3 linked regions of the Coturnix japonica genome follow. The main gene of each other region encodes a partner of the protein of the gene in region 3 in a complex. Links are inferred from orthologs where the notes say so. Each region holds a gene or a part of one and is shown on either strand. Other genes may lie near its edges.

What was found.
Region 1: the proteins of IRF2BP2 (region 3) and VGLL4 are in contact, whole or in part, in a crystal structure (PDB 8YTF), measured with the Homo sapiens proteins. The link is inferred for Coturnix japonica from reciprocal best matches to the Homo sapiens genes IRF2BP2 and VGLL4. Residues at the interface, in NP_892017.2 of Homo sapiens: Thr516, His517, Phe518, Val519, Gln520, Pro522, Phe531, Leu557, Trp564, Ala565, Phe566, Met567, Glu570, Thr573, Ile574; in NP_055482.2 of Homo sapiens: Arg161, Ser163, Val164, Ile165, Thr166.
Region 2: the proteins of IRF2BP2 (region 3) and ZBTB16 are in contact, whole or in part, in a crystal structure (PDB 8YTH), measured with the Homo sapiens proteins. The link is inferred for Coturnix japonica from reciprocal best matches to the Homo sapiens genes IRF2BP2 and ZBTB16. Residues at the interface, in NP_892017.2 of Homo sapiens: Thr516, His517, Phe518, Val519, Gln520, Pro522, Phe531, Leu557, Trp564, Ala565, Phe566, Met567, Glu570, Thr573, Ile574; in NP_001018011.1 of Homo sapiens: Arg285, Ser287, Val288, Ile289, Thr290, Ser291.

The regions. Positions count from the first base shown.
Region 1 is NC_029527.1:2,993,072-2,997,757, forward strand, and holds the start of VGLL4 (transcription cofactor vestigial-like protein 4), read right to left. Parts: upstream 3,171-4,686; 5' UTR 2,745-3,170; coding exon 2,663-2,744; intron 1-2,662. UniProt on the Homo sapiens protein: May act as a specific coactivator for the mammalian TEFs.
Region 2 is NC_029539.1:3,817,555-3,821,456, forward strand, and holds part of ZBTB16 (zinc finger and BTB domain-containing protein 16), read right to left. Parts: coding exon 3,744-3,902; intron 296-3,743; coding exon 128-295; intron 1-127. UniProt on the Homo sapiens protein: Acts as a transcriptional repressor. Transcriptional repression may be mediated through recruitment of histone deacetylases to target promoters. May play a role in myeloid maturation and in the development and/or maintenance of other differentiated tissues.
Region 3 is NC_029518.1:34,499,105-34,503,684, reverse strand, and holds the start of IRF2BP2 (interferon regulatory factor 2-binding protein 2), read right to left. Parts: upstream 2,866-4,580; 5' UTR 2,555-2,865; coding exon 1,549-2,554; intron 1,396-1,548; coding exon 680-1,395; 3' UTR 1-679. UniProt on the Homo sapiens protein: Acts as a transcriptional corepressor in a IRF2-dependent manner; this repression is not mediated by histone deacetylase activities. Represses the NFAT1-dependent transactivation of NFAT-responsive promoters.

The sequences.
Region 1 (4,686 bases), on a different chromosome or scaffold from region 3:
GATCATGACAATATTTCTTACCAGCATAACGAAACTGAGACAAATCTGAGGTTTCCTGTAGCTATCAAAGAAGACTGACCAAATGCTGACATTAATTCAGTAACCTAAAACTTGCAGGCTACATATTGCTATCTGCAACTCTTGCAGGACAAAACCAAGGAGGACTCCTCATGCAAACTACGCACTTCTATTCCATACTGAACTAAGGAACTGTCAAAGGCACCCAATGGAAGAACTTTTCCCATTCCTTAAACATCAGAACATTTCTTACGTACAAGCTACAGCTACAAATCAATGGCACATAGTTCCAATGGCTTGTGACTGGAGGTGGAAGTTTAAAATAGAGTAAACATTATAAAACGACAACAGTATGTTTCATCAACAAACATATTCTCTCAATAAGTAACAGTGAGAGCTGCAGGAAAGAATATAAAGGAATAAGGAAGTCATCTCACTTACTTCCTGTAGGATATAGGTCCATACATATAATATGAATCCAGATAAGACACATAATTCTTTCCACTGAAATTTCAATCCTATTTTCACAGAATATATTTGTGTCTACATCTGCAAAAGTACAAAGTACTTTTTAGGAAGACAACTACTTAGAAGTAGTTCAAGTATGACCTTCAATAAATCCTAATTAATTGAGTCTGAAAGGGCACTTTGTTCTCAGTCTACTTACTACTACAGCAGCGTCCTTGAAAAGACAAGATCCATCACAGCTGATACAGCTCTTAGAAAATAAATACTCCGGCAGAGGAAGATCTGTAGGCATCTCTAAAACACCCTTACAGTTCAGTGCAGATGTTGTCAGTGACTGTTTATACTTTTTAAACCACTGGGATATAAACACCTCACTATAAACACCACCGAATTTTTGCTTTTTTTTTTCTCATTTTTTTGTATGTTTACTTTAGTGTTAAAAATGTTAACTTCCATAATAAGGAAAATAGCAACAGATGTTTAAGCTAAACAAAGACTGCTATAGTAGAGTACTCTGAGCAGCTTTTAACTTCTAAAGCAAAGATCTATTCAAATAACAATTAATGGAGAAAAGGGTGGAAAAGGAGATCTGGAAAGAATCACCCATTAAAATTAGGCATAATTCTAATGAATTGAAGTAGTGAGCCAAAGCTACAGTTTTTCTGCTTCAGTCAACAAAACACTCATGAACATGTACTACGTAAGCAGAATTTTAAGCAAACTTCATGGTCTTCATCAGAAGTTGTTATTTGACTCCAAACAAAGCACTGCTTACTACGAGAGAAACAAAAAGTTAAAGGATCCTTCAAGTTGTCTTTTCTTAATTAGTCCTCTAGCTATAATGGAGAAAACACAGGTAGGAAAGAACCAGAAAATTCAACTAGTCTTGCACTATCTCAGTTCTGGATTACTCAGTCCTGATATGAAAACTCAAACTTCTTTAAAACAGCTTTATTCAAGCAAGTTATCTCCATATTTGAGCAGGAAAGGAAAAGAAAGAACAACGACAACAAAAGAATCAAATATTAACAGTTCTATAAGAAACTCCTCCATTTCCCAAAGGAAGGAAATGTGTCCATTCTGATTTAATGGTAGAAAAGATGTTATTTTCCAAAGAGAAGCTCAGCTCTGGCCTAGTCCTTTTTTTGAACATATGAATAGGCATTTTCTATTCCTATGTGTACTCCTTATTGTTTCTTCCCTAACAACTACAGCAAGTTTATTTTCCAAATGAACACGGAAAATGTTCCTGCTGAATCAGAAGAAAGATTTCTGCAAGGCTTGTGTGTGGCTACAGCAAAAACAGTTCTACTGCCAAGCCGAATTAGCTCTGTGGTGCCTTTCTTTCCAGTCAAAGCCAAGCCATAACCACTTCTTCAAACTGCACGTAGATAAAACTCCACTAAGATTAAGAAACTTATTTTACTCTATTACCTCAGGCAACTTCAAAACAGGACTATTAATGCTTACAAAATGGAGAGCAAATGCCAACCTACATTAGCTGGAGACAACATAGGTAAAATTCAGAGTCCAGCAGAGAGAAAAAATTACATTTTCCAACTAGTTGTGTAATTCTTTCCACAGGGGACGGGAGCGTGGGGTGGTTCTTGGGAAAGGAGGGGTGTGCGCGATGGAGGAGGGGGAGGCATCTCGCAGCCAGGGCTTTCTCTGAGCTGTGCAGGAAATGAGAAGTCAAACAATGGGCTACTCTGTGCTCTGCAGCACGGCGCCTCTGTGAGCCCCACGGCTGTGCACTCAAACTCTTCATTGTTCGCGACCCAACTGCTGAATTGATGTAAAAATTATTTCGAGCTACACTGTATAAAAGCGTCTCCCCCACCTAAAAGCGGCGGTGCCCGACTGCTAGGTACGGTTACAAGCAGAAATGTAAATTAATACCTACACCCATATTACAAACTATTTCCTTCACAGCTGCAGACATTACCAACAAACAATCTGCCTGGCAGACACAGAAGCAACACAGTCCTTTAAACAAATCTAACGTGAAAAAGAAAAAAAAAAAAATGTCCTTCCCTTAAACAAAGCCGTATTAACAACCCAGACTGTGAGCTATCTTAAAACCAACCATAGAGATCTTCTTTCAGGAAGAAAATCCACGCTTACAAATAACATAAAACACACCCGACAAAAGAGCTTTGTGAAATGAAAGCGTTACCTTCGTAGCACAGAATGCCAATATTGTTGTTCATCTTGTCCAAGTATTGGTAGTTCAACAGGTCCATCTTCATAAATAGCATTTATTGGGCTAGCAAAAAAGACCAGCTTGTTTGCTTTCACCCAGATTCAGGGAGATGGAAGCCAGGCGAATGGTGCTGAGGACGCTCCCGGCCCCCGAAACTTCACTAGCACAAGGCCCAGCCTTCACTAATCAAAACAAAGTATATTAAAGAAAAGTTGGAAGGATTAAAACACACACGACCCCTTCCAAACTTTTACAAACTAAAAGTATATTGCGTCCTTCAGTACAAAGAAAACTGTCTGAAAACTTTTCAAGTCTTTCTCCAAAAAAAAAAAAAAAAAAAAAGAAAGAAAGAAAGAAAGAAAAAGCAAACAGAAACAAGGGAAATTTCCTAGGACAAAGACACACTAGTTCTCCTCACAGCCCGCTGCAAGTTAACTGCACTGACATGCAGGCTATGCTTGGTATGACTCGTATGTAAACCAGCTTCCTCTCTCTATCAGGCGGGGAGGACTGAGCATGCTCAGTGAATCCCTGGAGCTCTTCAAATGTCAGGGATATTTTCTGTACAAGATCAGGCTCTAAATGCACTAAGTGTTTGAAAGAAAGAGCAGGAGGAGGTGGAGAGCCTGCACAGAAGGGGCCTGTGCAGCAGGGGCCATGTCAGAGCCGCCCTGACAGGAAGCAGCGCTGCCACCGCGAGCGGGAAGCGAAGGCGGCACGGCTGCTGGGAGGCCTCCATGCGGGCAGCGGCCTGACTGCTGCACCACCACAGCACGGCGCAGCCATCTCTGAACAGTCCTTAGCTCTGTTCTTTTGCTGTATTTCCCAGCACGACCTCAGGCACTGCCATGTACTATTGCAGTGATATAAGAGTGGCAGAGCAGAACAGCAGCTGGTTAGGGAAACGTGACACTGATGGTTTACCTCTGTGCATAGGTACTGTGCGCTCACACGCACTGCTGCCAATCAGTTCGTCACTACATTTGATTCTTTTCAGGTATATTAGTTAACAGAAATTCTGTTTGGATCGTTAGCAATTGGTACAGCTCCACATGAAGTGCCGCAGATGATGGAGGTTTCCACAGCAGTTGGTCTCATCCCAGGATGCGGTCAGCCCTTCTGCAGTTCAAGCCTTGACCACAAAGGCTGGCGCTGCTTGTACAGATGTGTGTGACTCATCTGGAGAGGGCAGAACATCTGTATAGAGGAAGGCATGTGCTAACCTAGCAGGCATCGGCTTGAACTTCCCGTGGCTAATCAACACCTGAAGGCTGATTTGACAGAAACAGAGAAATAAACCCCGGAGAACTTTGTTCTAGGACAAACAATAAGGCTAATGGAGTCCTAATCTTGCCTCTACCTCTCTTTCCTCTTCAAATTGGATGGCAATTCTTCCCTGTCTTCCTGGGAAGGAGAATTCTAATGGTACACAGGAGAGCAGATAGTCAGTGAGAATCAGTAAGAAATTTTAATTTCCACTTTGGGAATCCTTCTGCTTTGTTACTGCACTACTGAGGCACTTTGCCACAGCATTTTGAAAAGTACTACTTAAACTACCAACTAGTCTGTTCCATCTGCCGTTCTTCACACGCTTCACTAATCTGAGATACCTTCCACTGAGCTGAAATCAATCAGTGCATCAACAGGTTAGATGTGGCATGCATAGTTATTAACATCACCCCAGGATAGTTCTTACTTCTTTTTCCATACACTGATAGTTGCTACCACAACTAGTGGTGTGCCATACTATCTCTATGTTATCTCTGATATTATCTCAAGTACTTCTCTTAGCATTGCACACACTTTTCTTCCATAAGGCAGATATATATCCAAAGCTGTATATAATGTATTTAGTACACTGGAACTTTTAACACAACAGCATCCCCTAGAGGTAACTGAAAATCCACATAACATCTTTCTGAATCACTGTAGACTTCACATCTAAGTAAATCAAATTTGACTCTAATTAGCCCACTTAAACAGATGAGATAGTTCAA
Region 2 (3,902 bases), on a different chromosome or scaffold from region 3:
ACAGCGAATAATGAAGTAATGAACAGCAAAAGTGATCTAACTATTGATCCGCTATTTACAATAGCTCCACACTGACGCATTCAATGATTCCTTCTCCCCAGCAGCCAGCCCTGATCCCGGCACCTACCCGTGTGCACGCGGTAGTGGGTCTCCAGCTGGTGCTTCAGGCTGAACTTCTTGCCGCAGCCGTTGCACTCATAGGGCTTCTCCCCGGTGTGGATGCGTTTGTGGCCCTTCAACGTGCTCTCATCTCGGAAGCAGCTGCCACAGAACTCGCATTCATAGGGGTGGTCACCTGCAAGCACATATGGGTCAGCCCCATGGCAGGCATGTGGGGCTGCAGGAGCTCAGTGCTGCACACTCAGAGCCCTCTGCCTGCATCAGCCCCGCAGCGCTGCTCAGCACCCTGATAAATGAACTTGGGCTCAGCACCAAACTCAGAATCATTTGAATGAAAGGTGAGAGCTCCAGCTACTTATTTATTACGGCAGTGAAGGCAAGGACAATAAAGATAGATTGATCGTCCAAGACTTTGTTCATGAATATTTAAATATTACTGATTTGTCTTGTCACTGTAATTACAATTTCTCTGTGCTGCATATCCTACAACCACAGTTTATGGTAAAGAATGGCCAACTGTATTTCACTTGTCCTACTGCAGATGTGCAGAGCTGCCAAGCGTGTAATGTTCCTCGCATTTCATACATTTTCTTCAGCTGTGAAGGCTTAAGTCATCCACAATGACCTACGTTTTTTCATTATCCCCATGTCAAACTGCACTCGTGCCTGGGCATAAATTGTCCTTCTAGTTATATACTCACATGCCTGTGCTTTCACTTCCTCTTTGCAATGATATTTTACTCTCTGCCTGTTCTCCCCCCAGCCCTGCTGCTCCGTGCACGGCATTGTTTCCCAACAGCTGCAAACCAGCAACGATCCCACAGGGTGCAAACACCCCCCCATTACACACCCCCCAAACCAACATGCACATCTTTAATCACACTGCCCTGTGCGGGCTGCAGGTTTGTTTCTATTTTCCATTGGACTCCTCGTTCCTAAAACCAAATGGACCCGTGGAACTGGATGATGCCTTCCAACCAGAACCACCCTATCAAGTAACATCCAGCTGCCCATTTCATCACTCCCATTTGCTCAATAGTTATGGGAACACCTGGAGATGGGAGCCAGGTGAAGGATTCTTTCGTTTAGCCTCAGCCACCCATGGGAATAGTGATTTTTTTTCCTCCTGCTGCTTCTTTACAGCACCCTGGTACTTTAAGTGAAGTGTTAAACTCCGGAGCTGGTTTGACAGGATCCGCATGAATTTAATTATCAACCTGATCATGTGGTAAATGAGTTTAAACACGGCATCTCGAGGGCCAGACCCACACCCTCCATACACACACAGCGCCAATGCGGGGACACTAATGGGACCCACATCCCCACAGCAGCACTGCTCTGGTTGCAGAACCAGGGGGGAAAAAAATTAAAATCCAATTTGTGGCACGCTGATTAACTTTGCAGAACCCTTAATGAGCCTAGCATTAAATTCAGGACAAAGGGGACTAATTAGATCCCCTCCAGCACCTGTGACCCCGCTTCTGCACTGCTACCTGGTGCCCTGTGCCATAGAGGCAGAGCAATGGATCCACTGGCACTGAGGAAATCAGTGCAAGGGTTTGGATTATAAATAAGCAGCAGAGAAGCCCCATTGAAACCCTTCTGTACAACACCAGCATCCCCTCCTTTTTCATACTCTGACCTGCTCAGCAGAAAGAGGGGCTGGGATACCTCCAAGGGCTGCAGCCTTTATCCTCTCTATAATGAAGAAAGACCCTCCTATTCCTGCTGTGCTCTCCCAGCTCTGGGATGCTGCCAGGCAAGGACAGCAGAGAGCTGAGCACCACATCATGAGCTCTCTGTGGACTCAGCATTGTGCTTCCACTCCAAGAATAACCACGGAGCACAACTAACTACTCATAAAGCTCCGAGGGATCCTGGTTTATTTTTAAAGCCAAGAGCTAATAAACCATCAGGGGCTGGGGGCAGAACCCACACAGAGTGGCCTGCAGCCCAGGTCACTGGATTACTTGCTATGAATAGCTGCTCCACCCAGCATTAATGGGATCGTAAGCACTGTGTGATTCTGGGTTTCCTGGTTGGGAGTATGGATGCAGGACCAACAGGCACTGGTGATGCAGACCTTCTGTGATGCTGCCCCAGCTCATGTGTGTACAGGAAACTGGTTAAAAAGAGGAAGAAAAAGAGATGCAAACAATCTGCATCTGCCTCCCCCCAGCAATCACAGTGCTGCTGGAGCACGAGCCTCACAACTGGTGTGGGAAAAGATGGGAGAGGAGCATTTCCCTCCACCCACCTGCAAACCATCCCCGCCTCCCCACCGCTGCAAAAAGCAATTTCAGTCACTCTGATTCATAGCTGGGCTGCAAATTACAGGCCAGCTTTCTGCTGCGTGGAGCAGCACAATCCTGCTAATCACTGAGCTGGGCGAGGGTCAGCTCCCCAGGCTTGCCACGCTGCTGCACGTGTTGGGTGCTGCGAGGCTCCAGATCCAACCTCATTGCCATGAACAAGGGGAGAAGCAGCTCCTTCCTGAGGACAGAAGCACATGGGGACTGCAGGAGGCCATCCCTCATCAGAAGCTTGAAGGGCCATTTTCCCATAGCAAAAAGAAAAGCAGGAGGAAAGTCCTACAGTGTTGCTCGGTTATTCCAAACACACCATATTCAGGTACTAAATCTACTAGGGAACTTTCACTTTCTGTTTTGGATGGGATGCACTCACACCTCTTTCCTACATATGATCAGCCAGAGAATCATTAAGGTTGGAAAAGAACACTGAGATCCCCAACCCCATCCCACCCCACTGTATTTCTCAGTGCCACATCTCCATGCTCCCTCCAGGGATGGTGACCCCACCACCTCAACAGACAACTATGATGGTGCCCAAGCACTCTCTTGGAGAAGAAATGTTTCCTAACATCCAACCTGAACCTTCCCTGGCACAATATGAGGCAGTCTTATGCTCTAAGAACTGCTTCTCCCTACACTGCAGTCCCACAGCAGTTATCACATGGAGACACACAGCAGGAGCAAAGCACAGCAGGACAGGGCCACCATCAGGCAGGTGGTTTAAGGACACCGAGTAACACGGTCAAATCCTTGGTTTCATACCCCAGCTCTCATTTAACCTAAAAGCACCTTGGTGGGCGTGCAGTGTAAATACCATATACACGTAGCCCAGGTCACTGTAATCCCATTAGAGCCGAGTACCAGCTGATTATGTGCATCTACTGCATTTAAGCCGATGAAGTGGGGTAAGATGGCACATCCCCTAAGAAGGTCACATGTCACATTATACCGGATCAACTTATTACACACACAGTGCTTTCCCCCCCACCCCCACCTTGTTTTCTTCTTCTTTTTAAACCCAAGCAACCTCAGTTGTGGATGACAGTTGCCTCAATATTATTAAGATTAAATAAAAGAGAAGAATAAAAGTTCAGTTTAGCAAGGAACAACCTTATCCCAGCCCTCCTGGAAGCAAAGAAAGCTCCTCCAGCTCTCTCCATAGCTCACCATCAGCTGCTGGGTACCACCAAGCTGCCAGTCCCAAGCTCTCCTGCACAGAGCTTGGAACCCAAATGAGTGCACCTTGGACACAGGCAGCACTGGGACCCCCACCCCACAGCACAGGGCTGCTCTCAGTGGCCTTGGCTGTACCTGTGTGGGAGCGCAGGTGCCTCTTGAGGGCAGTGTGGCTGGGGAAGGTGCGGTTGCACTCGCTGCAGATGTAGCTGCGCACCCCGGCGTGCACCTCCATGTGCTGCTGCAGGGCAGTCTGTGTCTGGAAGCGCTTGCCGCAGAGCAGGCAGAAGACAG
Region 3 (4,580 bases):
TACTCCAAAGGCAACTTCCCTTGAGAAACACGGAGGAATTTTGGCCTGGGTCCGGCACGGCCACACGAGGCGGACAGCCGCTCCCGGGAGGAGCCCTTAGTGCTCCATGCGCCCGCCTGCCCCCAGCCCTACAGAAGCAGGGGGCAGCAATAAGGAAATCACAGACAGTAAGGCGATCTTTACAATGTCAGAAAGTGTATTTGGCATTAAAAAAAAAAAAAAGAGAGAGAAAAAAAAAAAAAGAAAAAAAAAAAGGAAAAGGAAACAAGTGCATACAAATACAGCTAGAAGCATTTCTCGTTTGCCAAGTGCTCTAAAAAAAGCAGCGCAAGTCACAGCCTACATCGAACAGTAATTGTCACCAGGGAAGCACAACAAATAGTTGCTATAACAAAAGGGGAGGGGGGAAAGCGGGGGGAGGGGAGTGGGGATGGGGGGGAAGGACGGGAGGAAAAAAAAAAAGAGAATTAGAAGAAATGCCTTTATAATAAGTACATACCTTTTGTCTTCAAAAAATATAGAAACACAATGTATTCAAAAAAATCAAAATTATACAGCCATGTTTATGAAGTCTACATTTCCCTTGTCTTGGAGATATATATATATTTATATATATATATTTATAGATATATACAGAACCGGAGCAGTTTGGGCGACGGGCGGCGCTGGGCCAGCACAGTCACGAGTCTCTCTCCTTTTTCACTTTCACATCCCCGGCCAGGATGGTGGCGATCTCCCCCTGCATGAAGGCCCAGGGCACGTTGGAGCCGACCAGGGGGCACTTCTCCCCGCTGGGGCAGTACACCTCTCCGCTGGCCCCCTGCTGCTTGATGCTCTGCCGGGAGCAAGGGAAGCAGAACTTGTGGGACGGGACGGAAGGGCACTGCACGAAGTGGGTGTCTTCCAGGCGCTCGTGGCACAGGGTACAGCACAAGGGGACGCTGGCGGCGAGGGACGAGTCCGGCAGGCTGGCGGGGTGCACGGGCTCCAGCCCGCCCGCCGCGCTGCCCCCCTGGCCCGGCACCTCCCTGCCGGCACCCAGCCTTCTTTGGTTCATGGCGGAGGGCGAGGGGGGGCTGCTGCTGTTCCTCCTGGTGGTGGAGTGGACCTGGTTGGCCTCCTTGGAGGCGTGGTTGCCCCCGGCATTGTCCGCCACCAAAATGAGCGCGGCCATGGGGGACTGGCCGTTCTGGGCCGCCTCGGGCGGCGTGGTCCGGTTGGAGTGGGGCGAGGCGGTGGGCGGCGGGGGCGACATGAAGGACGTGGCCGTCAGCGGCATCTTCATCCCTTCGGACGCGGCCGGCAGCCAGGGCTGCGCCTCCCCGTTGATCTTCGGGGGTCCCGCCTCGCCCTCCGGCTCGGGGGACGGCTTCCTCTTCCGGGCTGCGCGGGCCCCTGGAAAGGGAGGGAGAGAGTCAGAGGGGCGACAAGGCGGCCAAGCACCGCCACCGAAACGTGCCAGATCACCGTAACACGCGCACACACGCGGCCCCGTCCGCCCCGGCCCCGCACTCGCCCCCCTCCTCCCGCCCCGGTCCCGCTCCTCACCCGGCTTGGCCGCGGCCCCGTTGCTCTCGTATCCCAGCATCCTGCCGCCCGCCATGCCCGGCTCCTTCTTGAACTTGCTGTCGAAGGGCGGCACCGCGTGCCCGCCGTGCTGGTGCAGGGCCAGCAGCGTGTCCCGCACCGTCTTGGGCTTGGCCAGCCACTCCTCGCCGCCCGCCCGGCTCTTGCCGTCGTTGCCCATCTCTGCCGTGGCCGGCACGCTCTCCGCCGATCCGCGCTTCTCCTTGCTCCCTCCGTCGTGTTCCCCCGCCGCGCCGCCGCCGCCCGACGACGAGGACGAGACGGAGCCGGGCCGCTTGTGGCCCAGCTCTCCGGGCTGCCCCGCCGCCGCCTGCGCCGCCGCCGCCGGCTGCTGGGGCACGGGCACGGCCAGCGGGGCGGGCGCGGCCGAGATGGCGGCCAGCGAGGCGGCGGCGGCGGCGGCTCGGCCGCCCAGGCCTCCGATGGCGGCGGGGAGCCCGGCGCCGTTCACCAGCGGCACCAGAGTGGGCGGCACGGCGTGCGTCCGGCGCGGGTTGGGGCTCTGCCGGTTGAGCTCGGGCGGCTCCTCGGGCTTGGGGAAGCCGTTGGGCACCAGGATGCCGTTCACTTGCCGTCCGCCGCCGTACTCGGCGCCCAGGCGAGGCGGCGGCCGCTCGGCGGCCAGCGGGTGGCGCTCCTGGGGCTGCGGCGGGGGCGCTGCCGCCGCCGCCGCCGCCGCGGGGTGGCCGAGCTGCTGCTGCTGCGCCAGGAGCTCCTTGGCGGAGAGCGGCGGCTGCTTGGCGTGCGGCGGCGGCGGGGCCCGGCCCTCGGCGAAGCAGCCGTGCGCCCGCTTCAGCTGCCGCGCCGTGTCGATGACGAACTCCACGCGGTCGGCGCCCTCGTAGTTGACGCAGCCCCGGCACACGGGCTCGGTGAAGTCCCAGATCATGGCCCAGGGCATGCGGGGCAGGTCGCACAGGTAGCACGACTGCCTGCGGGAAGCAGCCGCCACCGCCGCCGACGACATGTCCCGGCCCCGGGGCGGCGGCGAGCGCCCCCCGCTCCGGCTCCGGCCGCCGCCTCCTCCTCCTCCGCCCCTCGCCACCGGACGGCCGACGGGGCGGCTCGGGCGCCGCGGGACCGTCGGCGCGGCCCCCTCCCCCTCGCCTTCCTCTTCCGCGCCCCGGCGAGCGGAGCCGCTCCGGGGGCCGCCGCTCCCTCGTCCGTCTCCGCCGGCGGCGCTCACAGCGCGGCGGGGACGCGCATCTTCGCGGCGCGCCTGGCGCAGGGCTGCGGCCGCTGCCGCCCGCACGGCTCCCCCGCTCGCTGGCTACTACGGGGCGGCGCGGCGGGGCGGGGCCGGGGCTGGGGCCGGGGCCGGGGCCGGGGCCGGGGCCGGGGCCGGGGCCGGGGCCGTGCCGCGTTCCAGCCGCCACCGCCGCCTCTGCGCGCCGCCGCCTCGATTCTTCGACAGTGCCGCCGCGCCTGCGCGATGGGCGCCCCCGCCCCAACAACGCCAACCACGCCGCCGCCGCGCTCCCGGCCCCGGCTCTGCCCGCGCCCCCGGCCCGGCCCCGGGGGTTCCGCCCGCCGCCGGGGGAGCCCAGCGCCGGCCACGCGGAGCGGAGCGGGCTGAGCGCGGCCCCGAGCCTCCCGCTCGGCACCGGCGGGGTCACCGCGTGCGGTGCGGGCTGAGCGCCGCGGGGTCGCTGAGCTCGGTCGCCCCCGACCCCCCCCCGGTGACCCTGGGGCTGCCCCCGTCCCCTACTGGGCCCGGGCGGGAGGGGCGTCGTGGGTAAATAAAACCATCGCCCGTATTGTTATTTTTTTCTTTATTTTTTTTTTTCTAACTGTTGTCACTGCACGCAGGAAATAGGACGCTCGAGATTTCCTGTCGTTTGCAACCACAAACCCTCCGCTCTCTAAGGCGGACGAGCACAACCCGCGCAGCTCAAGCACGGCACGGGCGTTCCGCTCCGTCCCCGCACAGCGGCACCGCGAGGGGCAACGTCCCCCTCGCCACGTCCCGCAGGCGGGCACGGCCCTCCCCGCCGCGTTATGTAGGTTACGGGGGAGGGAAGGGGGGGCGAGCAGGCAGCGGGGACACCCGGGGGAGCTGTGACGTTTGCGGGGCTCGGCGGGGCGGTGCCTGCGGCGCTCCCGGGGCTGCGGACCTGGGATGCGATTCAGGCACCGGGAGAGCCCCGAGCGGATCGTGCCCCACGGCCAGGCGGGGGTTAACGCGGCTCCGCAGCGCGGCCCTCCTTTCTCGTAGCATCAAAGCGCTGTAAGGCTGTTCCGTGCACCCCCTCCCGGCTGGAAAGTCGCTTTATCCCTGCATGCTAAGTAAACACATCTTGTTTTCGTCTTCCACCCACTGCCCTCTTTCTCCAGCCCGGAGATGGAGGCGTGCCAAGGCGGTTGCAGCGATTGCTGCCTCCACACTCATACACACACACATATACACACACACACATGCACAGCCGGGTTTGTCGGGTGAGGCAATGCGCCTGCAATTGGCAGGGACAAGGCAGGAATTGTAATTGCACTGCATCATGTGATGGCTTATGAAAGAGGAAGTTTGGATGTTTTAGTCACGTACTCCTTTGCCCTCTCGCTTTAGCCTCCAGGTTTTGCGAAGGAAAAAAAAAAATAAAAAAATAACTGCATATATTTATATACACTGGTGGGAAGCCAAGGAGCTGTGTGTTTGCACACTGCGCATGGGGAGCACAGCTCGGAGAGAGCCCGGCTGCAGGGAGGGAGAAAGCACAGCTTTCAGTGAGTGCAGGACGGGGAGTGTGACCCCTATTTATTTAACTTGGTTTCTGATCGAATCAGGCTGGTCAGAGCCACTATGGGCAGCATTTGGGTTCTGCTGCATTTGCATCTATTCTGGTAGAAGAGGCAGCTCTCTGGTAGAGAGCGTTGCAGCTCTCGGTGTCAAAAAGCAGATAAAAAATAGCGGCGTAGGAAATGTGATTTAAGAATCAAATCACACACACACACACACAAATCTGCAGAGCTGCCGTCATGCAGTCGCTGCACAAGAA